Rattus norvegicus: one gene and its partner. The protein of the gene in region 2 binds, or shares a complex with, the protein of the main gene of each other region. Links are inferred from orthologs where the notes say so. Each region holds a gene or a part of one and is shown on either strand. Other genes may lie near its edges.

Region 1 (4,011 bases), on a different chromosome or scaffold from region 2:
CTGTCTTTAGGGACATAATAAATCCTGTTGAAGGTAGGCAGGTGTGAGGACTACGTAACATTGGTTTGGAACCACACTGAATAATATTTAAAGGGGCTGTTTATATAGGTGAGTGTGATAGTGAACTCGTAATCCAGTGTGGTTTCAGCAAAGGTGGGAGGCCAGCCACAAAGTCAGATTTCTAATCTAAGTGCTGATCAGTCACCTAGGCTTAAACCAAGTTCAGAGCCAAGCTGGCTCTGCAACAAAATGAGATACACAAGACAACAGGAAATACTGTTCAATAGAGGGCAGGTTTCAGAAGTGGAGAGTAAGATGTGATTTTTAAGATTTATTTATTTCATGATTACAGACTTAGGGCATGGTAGGCAAACAAAAATCAGTAAGCACCTTTCCCCCACTTAGCTGGATGCATTTTGCCTTCTATGTGATAACGCATGTTGATGTTAATTCGTGGAGTTGAAAGTTAGCAACAGCAAACCTGTAATGCAGGTGCCTCTTGCTCAGCTGGGTGCTGGAGTTATGAGCAGCAGTGCTGTGAGCTCCAAAGTGGTGTTGATGTCATTTCCAAAGCTTCTGAATGTTAAGGTGACACCTCTGTTAAGGCAGGAGCTCAGTAAAGCTGTTTTCTACTCCCATAACCCAGGCCACCAGCAGTTGAAACTGTTACTCTAAAAATACAATCATGTTTCCAAGCAGTGATTGAAATGGAGGTTGTGTCCGCATCCCTTTTCAGAGCATTAGCTCCCTGAGAGGAAAAAGAGGCCAACCATTGTGAGCAATGCCTCCCATAGGGTACACCCAGTGTCCTCTGCAGCAAACGCTGTCAGGCAGCCTCGGTCCTGACCAGTTCACCATATTTACATCCGAGAACCAGTTAAAGATGATTCCACGCCATGTTTTGCAACCTAACCCCACCCCCCAAGAAGCTCTCCCATTGTAGCATGAGGAGTTCAGCAAGATGTCAGCAAAAGTGAAGTTGCCTCAAAGCAGGAGTGACAGCTGCTCCTTCAGAACACCAAGGTGGAGAACTCTCCTCTAAACTCTTCCAATCCCAGATTAGCTTCACAGCCTTCCCTGACAAAACCCAGAGGCCCCTCAATTTACTGACTTCTTCCAAGTGACAGGCAGGTCAAGAGGAGTTTTCTGGCTTTTCTTTGCCATGGCCCATGAACTCCAGTCCTTCAATAGGAATCTCTTTCTCCTTGATTGCTTTCTGAAGGAGGAAGAAAATGTACTATAAGTCCACGGAAGCTTGCAGTCCATGTTTTGTAACTGAAGTATAATGGTACAGAGGTAAACCAGACTGAACTGGAATGGCTTGAAACCCACAATACAAGGGGCACCCTTTATTTGAGACAAGGTTTCATTGTGTAGCCCCGGGTAGTCTAGAACTCACATCTGCCTGCCTCTGAGTCATGGGATTAAAAGTGAGTACCTCTAGCACTGGTTTACCAAGCAGCACCGACGTGCAGACTGTCATGTAAGTCCTGTGTGGTATGCACGCCTGCTCTTGGGAAGGTCAGTTCAGGTACCTATCTCTATCTTAGTGACAGTGTTTAATATGAATCTCAGTTTAAGCGGCTATGTGACCTTGAGTCACCTTCACTGTCTGAGAACTGGCTAAAGGTAGCTTCTGGAATCCAGGGGATGGTTTTAGGTTAGAAGTGCTGATTTGAGGGCTGGAGGGATGGCTCAGTGGTTAAGAGCACTGACTGCTCTTCCAGAGGTCCTGAGTTCAATTCCCAGCAACCACATGGTGGCTCACAACCATCTCTAATAGGATCCGATGTCCTCTTCTGGTGTGTCTGAAAACAGCTTCAATGTACTCATATAAATAAAAATAAATAAATCTTTAAAAAAAAAAAGTGCTGGCCTGAAATCAAACCTTATTGGTACAACAGGTGGAGGAAAAACAGAGCAACGAAGAGATCGTAACAAAACGGGACCTCTGCAATTCCTTAGCAGTCTAAAACATACGGTAAACACATCCACTCTTAACAGTGAAATGACACCACCAAAATAATCGAGGTCACCAGACTCCAGTGCCTTTGAACAATCACTTCCTATTTCTGAGTACGAGTTTTTCCATGTGTAAAGTATAGATAACAGAACGTCTTGTCACCAAGCCTGGTGTCCTGAACTTTATCCCCAGAACCCACATAAATGTGAAAGGAGAAAACTGACTCCGTTAGTTGTCTCCGACATTATCCCGGACGGGAACACATATCCCGGACGGGAACACATACATTTTTTTCCGCCCAGAGACGGAGTTTTTCCGTGTAGTCCTGGCTGTCGTGGAACTCAACTCTGTAAACCAGGGTGGCCTCTTACTCAAGAGACCCGCCTGCCTCTGCCTCCTGTGTGCTAGGATATTAAAGGTGTGCGCGATCACCGCCCCGGCCACGGCAATTTTTAAAGATACGAATAATTATGACTACTTGCAAGGTTGGAATAAGTACCAAACAAATGAGCAACAACAACAAAATACTAATGTACTATGTAAAAAGCAAAGCACCGCGAAAACATCCCAGTGTATCAAGCGGCGACACCCAAGCAATTTCGGTGGGATGGCGGAGAAGAGGGCTGCTGCAGCCCTGCGGCTGGTCCGGGCGAAGCTCACCTGGACACACTGTTGGTAGCGTTTGAAGAGGTCGGTGCACGGGTCCCCCGAGCCGTCTCCTTTGAGAAACTTCTCAGCAAACCAGCGGTTAAAGCATTGGTCGTACTCGCGCTTCATGTCAGTGCAAGCCTCCCCGACGCTGTTCATGGCGACCGCAGCTGCAGTGACGGCGACGCACTCTAATGTCGTCACGCGCGCGCACGTCGCCCCACCGTTTGTCGCTACGGAGGCCGAGAAGCAAAGATGTGGGCACAGGCGGCGAGGGTGCAATTTCGGGCTCCTCTGGACCGGGGCCGAAGTTTTGCTTCCAAAGTGGGTCCACGCGGAAAGGTCCAGGCGGCGGACCCGAAGACCCAGGCTCCACGCCTAGTCCCGGAGGGCACCGATCGCGTGTCCGCCGCGGTAGTCGAGCATCTGGAGCGGCTGGCACTGGTGAACTTCAGCAGCCGCGAGGCGGTGGACCGGCTAGAGAAAGCCGTGGCCTTTGCCGACCAGCTGCACGCCGTGGACACCGACGGGGTGGAGCCCCTGGAGTCGGTTCTGGAGGACAGGTAAGCTCCCGGCTGCGGCCTCGGCGTCTTGACTCGGGCACCTTGGAGGCTGTTTCAGATTCTTTGCATAATTGGAAATTTGTCAGGTCACCGCGAGGATGGCTTCACTCTTCCCCTAGTTCATTATAGATCCTGTCACTCCCGTTTAGAATCCTCTAGTCTTCCCAGTCTCGATGTAAATAGGAACAAAGTCCGAAAATCCCCTACTTCATAGAGCCCCTACCACCCTCTCGGGTGTACTGTTCCTTCAGGACCCGCCTCCAGCCTGTACCGGCTTACTAACCACGTTCATTCCCTCTAAGGTGTTTTCACTTGCCTACCTGAGCATCAGATTAAATAGCTGAAGAAATATATATATATATTTACACATATATACATATATATATTTATATATATATACATACATACATACATATACATATATGTATGTACGTATGTATCTTCAAATCAGTTTTATGCTAATATGGGACATCCAAATAACAAGTTATGCTTCACCTGTTTTTGGAGATAGAATCTGGCTGTTTCATCAGTGCTAATTATAAGCCTGTATTACCCACGTAGCATCAGTTTCAGGAAATCGGTGAAATGCTTTGCGAAGTTTAAATCGTGTTAGTCACCTGTTCTTCTCACCTTCCAGTCTGATTCCTTCCGGTCTTTGATCTGATGCTCAGATGCAGAGAAGTTATCACTATTTGCCTAACATTACCCCGCACCTCATTACCCAGTACTTCGCAGCGGTTGACCTGATGTCATTTCCCCATCCAAGATCTTCAGAAGATGTGGCACTGCTCCTGAAGCCAAAAAAAGTTTGCTTGAGGCCTGCAGGCTCTTGGTTGT
Region 2 (4,224 bases):
GTTCAAGAAGGCTAGAAAGAAACCAAGGCTGTCATTCCCGTCCTTGAAATCCACTCAAGCAGATATCCCCCCCCCCTCAAGCTCCCATCCTCAGAGACTTAAAAACAGGTACTATCAGCGTAGTCCTGAACGTCATGGAAGTCTACACGACGGCGCCGCCTGTCTTCCTCCAGCAGATCACTCTTAGTGCCACACAGGTAGATTTGACAGCCCTGTAGCAGAAGACAAGGCTGAAATTATCTCCACAGACCAATACAGTCTCTGTCCCTAATCTTGTAGGATCTTGTCACCTACCTCTTCTAAACTGCGGAGCTCCTTAACCCAGAACTTGGCTCTCTCAAAGCTGCTGCTGTCGGTGAGGTCTTGGTAGGGGTAAGACAGGAGACACAATAAGGAACAGTGGCTTCCCGTTGATGCTGGCCTGTAACCCAACTCTTACTTGAACAGGCCAGAGTCCAACCCCTTACCATAACAGACAATTGCAGCTTTAGCACCCCGGTAATAGATTCTGCTCATGGCTTCGTAGCGCTCGGAACCTGCTGTGTCCTGAGGGGTGAAAGGAGTCGATGAGCTCCTTCACAAGACTACAAACTAGGCCCACATCTTCCAGACACCTCCCCTCCTTTTTTCTTAAGATGAGTAAATGGGTGTGCGGAAGAAAAGAACGACCTGTATGAGACTCCGGCTGACCGGTTTAAGAGGCAAGACATTAAATTTCGGGGATAGGTTTGCTCAAGACTCTGTTCTCAAGGGACTTACCCAAATACCCAGAGTCACCGTCCGATCTCCAACACACATCACCTTGGCCACAAAAGCAGCCCCGATGGTCTACAACCAGGGAAGAGATAAGAGTCGAATGCCGGTCGGCCCCCTTCCTCCCAAGCCTGCTCCGCAGGGGTGCACTCACGTTCTGATAGGGCCCCACCAAGAAGCGGTCGTGCACGTATCGTTCCACCAGGCTCGTCTTGCCCACGTATTCCTTGCCCAGCATAACCACCTTGACGTCCACGCGCTGCCCGCTCATGCTCCCGGGGCCGCCTCACCCACTTCAGGGTCTCCGCGGCCCAGGCAGAGCCCAAGCCTCAGACCCCAATCCCAAAGGCCTCGCACTTCGCAGGCTTCTGGTGCCTCGGCCCGGGGCGCTCCGTCCCTTACAGAGCCGCGGCGCGGGGACGCGGACAGCGCCCTCCACCGCGCCGCAGGGCCCTGCGCTGCTCACCCGCGCGACCGTCGCTGCGACAGAAGCTCCGCCGCGCCGGGGTTACCGACTGAAACCGGGTTCCCTATAGCTAACTCCAAACAGCACCTCTGGGACTGGACCACAAGAGGCGGGACGCCCGGTCACGTGACACGAGCGCCGGAAGTGGCCGATCCTGTGCGGCTGGCGCCGGAAGCGTCGCGCAGTCCTATAGCCTCTCATGGCGGCGGTAGGGACCTGGGCGCGGCGCCGCGGTGATTGAGCTGCGAGCCTGGCGGGCGTGCGCCTTGCCACGTGCCCTCCCCACCCCCGGGCTCTTCACCCTGATGCTGCACGGGTGCTGAGCCCGCCCGGGTCGGGACGATGGTGAAGTATTTCCTGGGCCAGAGCGTGCTCCGAAGTTCCTGGGACCAAGTGTTCGCTGCCTTCTGGCAACGGTACCCGAATCCCTATAGGTACGTGGTGGTAGGTAGAGCCAGTCGCCCTCCTCTCTCCATTTGGCTGTCCTTGAATAGTGGAGCCGTGAAAAACTAGAACAGAAAGTCCGATGTGAGCTATCTCCGGTGACTGTGGCCACAGTTATGGCACAAAGTCCTTATAGGATTAAGATCAGGCCAAGTCTGCAAGGTTGTAGATCGTGGTTTATATTAGGCTCTAGATTTCTATTTTGCGGTCGGTCCTAGGGAGACAGGAAGAGTTGAGCGGTAGGTATTTCGGGGCCTGAAATCCTGACGATGGCTTGCTCACCTGCTGGTGGCGCTCTCTAGTGGTATAATTCTTGAGATTTTGCTCGATTTGGAAAGCCACAGAATCCATGTCAGGGTGGAGGAGGGAGTTGGAATTTGCCCGGGGATAGGTTCATTGCACTCTAATTCCGAACCTGGGTACAGATCACTCTGTAAGATTGCAGGAAGCCATGACCTGGAGGCTCTAAATAGTAACCCGTAGACATTTCCTGAGAATCATCTGCATTTTAACACTTGCAGCAAACATGTCTTAACCGAAGACATAGTGCACCGGGAGGTGACCCCTGACCAGAAGCTTCTGTCCCGGAGACTCCTGACCAAGACCAACAGGATGCCACGTTGGGCAGAGCGACTGTTTCCCGCCAACGTTGCTCACTCGGTGTACATCCTGGAGGACTCGATTGTGGACCCACAGAATCAGACCATGACCACCTTCACTTGGAACATCAACCACGCCCGGCTGATGGTGAGACTTCCTTTGGTTCCTCAAAATAGTTGCCCTTCAGATTTCAGGCTGGAGAATTGTGGGAACTTCTGCGGCCAGAGGCGGGCCTCATCTGTAGAGTTCTGCCCTTAGATTGGTCTATCCTTTTTGAGTGGTTGGATTCTCCGGGACTGCCCCTCGGCTCTCAGATGGTGGGGAAAGACACCCATTTTCAAAGCTTGTTACAAGTGCTGTACACAGAGCAGTCGGTTGGTGACATACATACATACATACATACATACATACATACATACATACATACATAGGCTTTCAGGAGTTATACTGGGTGACAAAGGGAGACAGTGACTTCCATCAAGGCTTGGAGGTGTCTGGAATGTGCCTCAGTTTCTGCATGAGATTTGAGGGGATGCATCATGTTCCTTGGATCCTTCGGAAGGCTTGAAATCCCATGTTTGGGGATATTCAGAGTGTCATTTGCCTGTGTGACTAACCTTCAAGCTTCGAGATGATTCTTTCTCAGCTTCTGTAAACTTGAGAGGTGGGAATTGTGTGTTTTGCAAAAGAAAAGCTTTATAAAGATGTGCCCCTCACGGGCACAATGTGAGGAAGGCACCCTTTCCTGCCCGGCACTGTCTGAAGTCACCTCAGCTGAGAGCTCTGCTTGGTAACACAGTGGTGTGTTTGTGACTTCTCTTCACGTTCTTCAGGAGGCTCCCACACCCTTTGATAATAAAAGCTGTCATTATTGGGGGGGAGGGGACGAGAACACACACACACACACACTATCAGGAAGCTCAGAGGGGAGAAAGCAGATGAGAAACACTGTTCACCTCTATATCCAGAGGCCCCAAGCAAAGCCCTGGATCAGGGTGGAATAGCCGCTGATCCCAGGAAACTGCGTTCTACTTCAAAGGGTCAGCATTGAGGTTATAGAGGCAGAACAGCCTCTCTCCGGGCCTGAGATACAAAATGGGAAGAACTTTGTGGGGGCAGGAACTCACCCGATGTTGAGTGCAGGAATATGGTGCTAGCTTGTCTGAGCGTGCCCCTTCAGGGTGCTCAGCCTGACTTCCCTTGAAGGTGGTGGAGGAACGATGTGTTTACTGTGTGAACTCTGACAATAGCGGCTGGACCGAAATCCGTCGGGAGGCCTGGGTCTCCTCTAGCTTATTTGGTGTCTCCAGAGCTGTCCAGGTAAGAGGTTGGGGGCTGGGCTGGGCTGGGCCAGGCCGTGCTGGGCCGGGCCCTGGGTCATTGAGCAACTCTCCCATCATTCTCCTCCTTCCAGGAATTTGGTCTTGCCCGGTTCAAAAGCAATGTGACCAAGACAATGAAGGGCTTTGAATACATCCTGGCCAAGCTACAAGGTGAGAGCCCTAGACACTGTTTCAGGAATCGGGAGGACCCGCACTACCAATAGCTGGAGCGGTCCTACCTCTGCTTAACCAATGAAGCATGGGGCCAGTCTTAGTCTGAGACTCTTTATGTGTGCCCGGAAGGGCTGGAGGGTCAGGAACAGGGGGCTCCAACTATTCCTAAGAAGCCGGGCCCTTCAACAGTGACTGCCGAGGTTGATGAGGGGTTGGATGGGTCTTCTGGGCACCATCTGAAGCCAGCCCCTGTCATTGCCACAGGTGAGGCCCCTTCAAAAACACTTGTTGAGACAGCCAAGGAGGCCAAAGAGAAAGCAAAGGAGACCGCACTGGCAGCTACAGAGAAGGCCAAGGACCTGGCCAACAAGGCCGCCACCAAGCAGCAGCAGCAGCAGCTCGTATAGCCCTCTTCCTCTCCCTCCTCCCCCGTGTACTTGATTATTAAAGATGAACCTGCAGCCC

The links. The genes of interacting proteins can lie anywhere in the genome.
Region 1: the proteins of Prelid1 (region 2) and Triap1 are in contact, whole or in part, in a crystal structure (PDB 6I3V), measured with the Homo sapiens proteins. The link is inferred for Rattus norvegicus from reciprocal best matches to the Homo sapiens genes PRELID1 and TRIAP1. Residues at the interface, in NP_037369.1 of Homo sapiens: Trp15, Asp16, Phe19, Ala20, Trp23, Gln24, Tyr26, Pro27, Val34, Leu35, Thr36, Glu37, Asp38, Ile39, Val40, His41, Arg42, Val44, Gln48, Lys49, Leu50, Leu51, Ser52, Arg53, Leu55, Thr57, Tyr79, Leu81, Asp83, Ser84; in NP_057483.1 of Homo sapiens: Met1, Asn2, Ser3, Val4, Lys12, Tyr15, Asp16, Phe19, Asn20, Trp22, Phe23, Phe27, Leu28, Gly30, Asp31, Ser32, Phe41, Tyr44, Gln45, Val48, Gln49, Ile52, Ile57, Pro58, Ile59, Leu62, Glu63, Phe64, Met65, Gly66.

Annotation. Positions count from the first base shown.
Region 1 is NC_086030.1:46,927,963-46,931,973, forward strand, and holds Triap1 (TP53-regulated inhibitor of apoptosis 1), read right to left. Parts: upstream 2,805-4,011; 5' UTR 2,771-2,804; coding exon 2,624-2,770; intron 1,217-2,623; coding exon 1,133-1,216; 3' UTR 311-1,132; downstream 1-310. Other genes in the region: Gatc (glutamyl-tRNA(Gln) amidotransferase subunit C, mitochondrial), read left to right, coding at 2,867-3,174. UniProt on the Homo sapiens protein: Involved in the modulation of the mitochondrial apoptotic pathway by ensuring the accumulation of cardiolipin (CL) in mitochondrial membranes.
Region 2 is NC_086035.1:9,310,708-9,314,931, reverse strand, and holds the start of Prelid1 (PRELI domain-containing protein 1, mitochondrial), read left to right. Parts: upstream 1-1,420; 5' UTR 1,421-1,561; coding exon 1,562-1,653; intron 1,654-2,184; coding exon 2,185-2,410; intron 2,411-3,469; coding exon 3,470-3,583; intron 3,584-3,677; coding exon 3,678-3,756; intron 3,757-4,023; coding exon 4,024-4,166; 3' UTR 4,167-4,224. Other genes in the region: Rab24 (ras-related protein Rab-24), read right to left, coding at 113-212, 295-362, 468-546, 760-828, 908-1,024. UniProt on the Homo sapiens protein: Involved in the modulation of the mitochondrial apoptotic pathway by ensuring the accumulation of cardiolipin (CL) in mitochondrial membranes.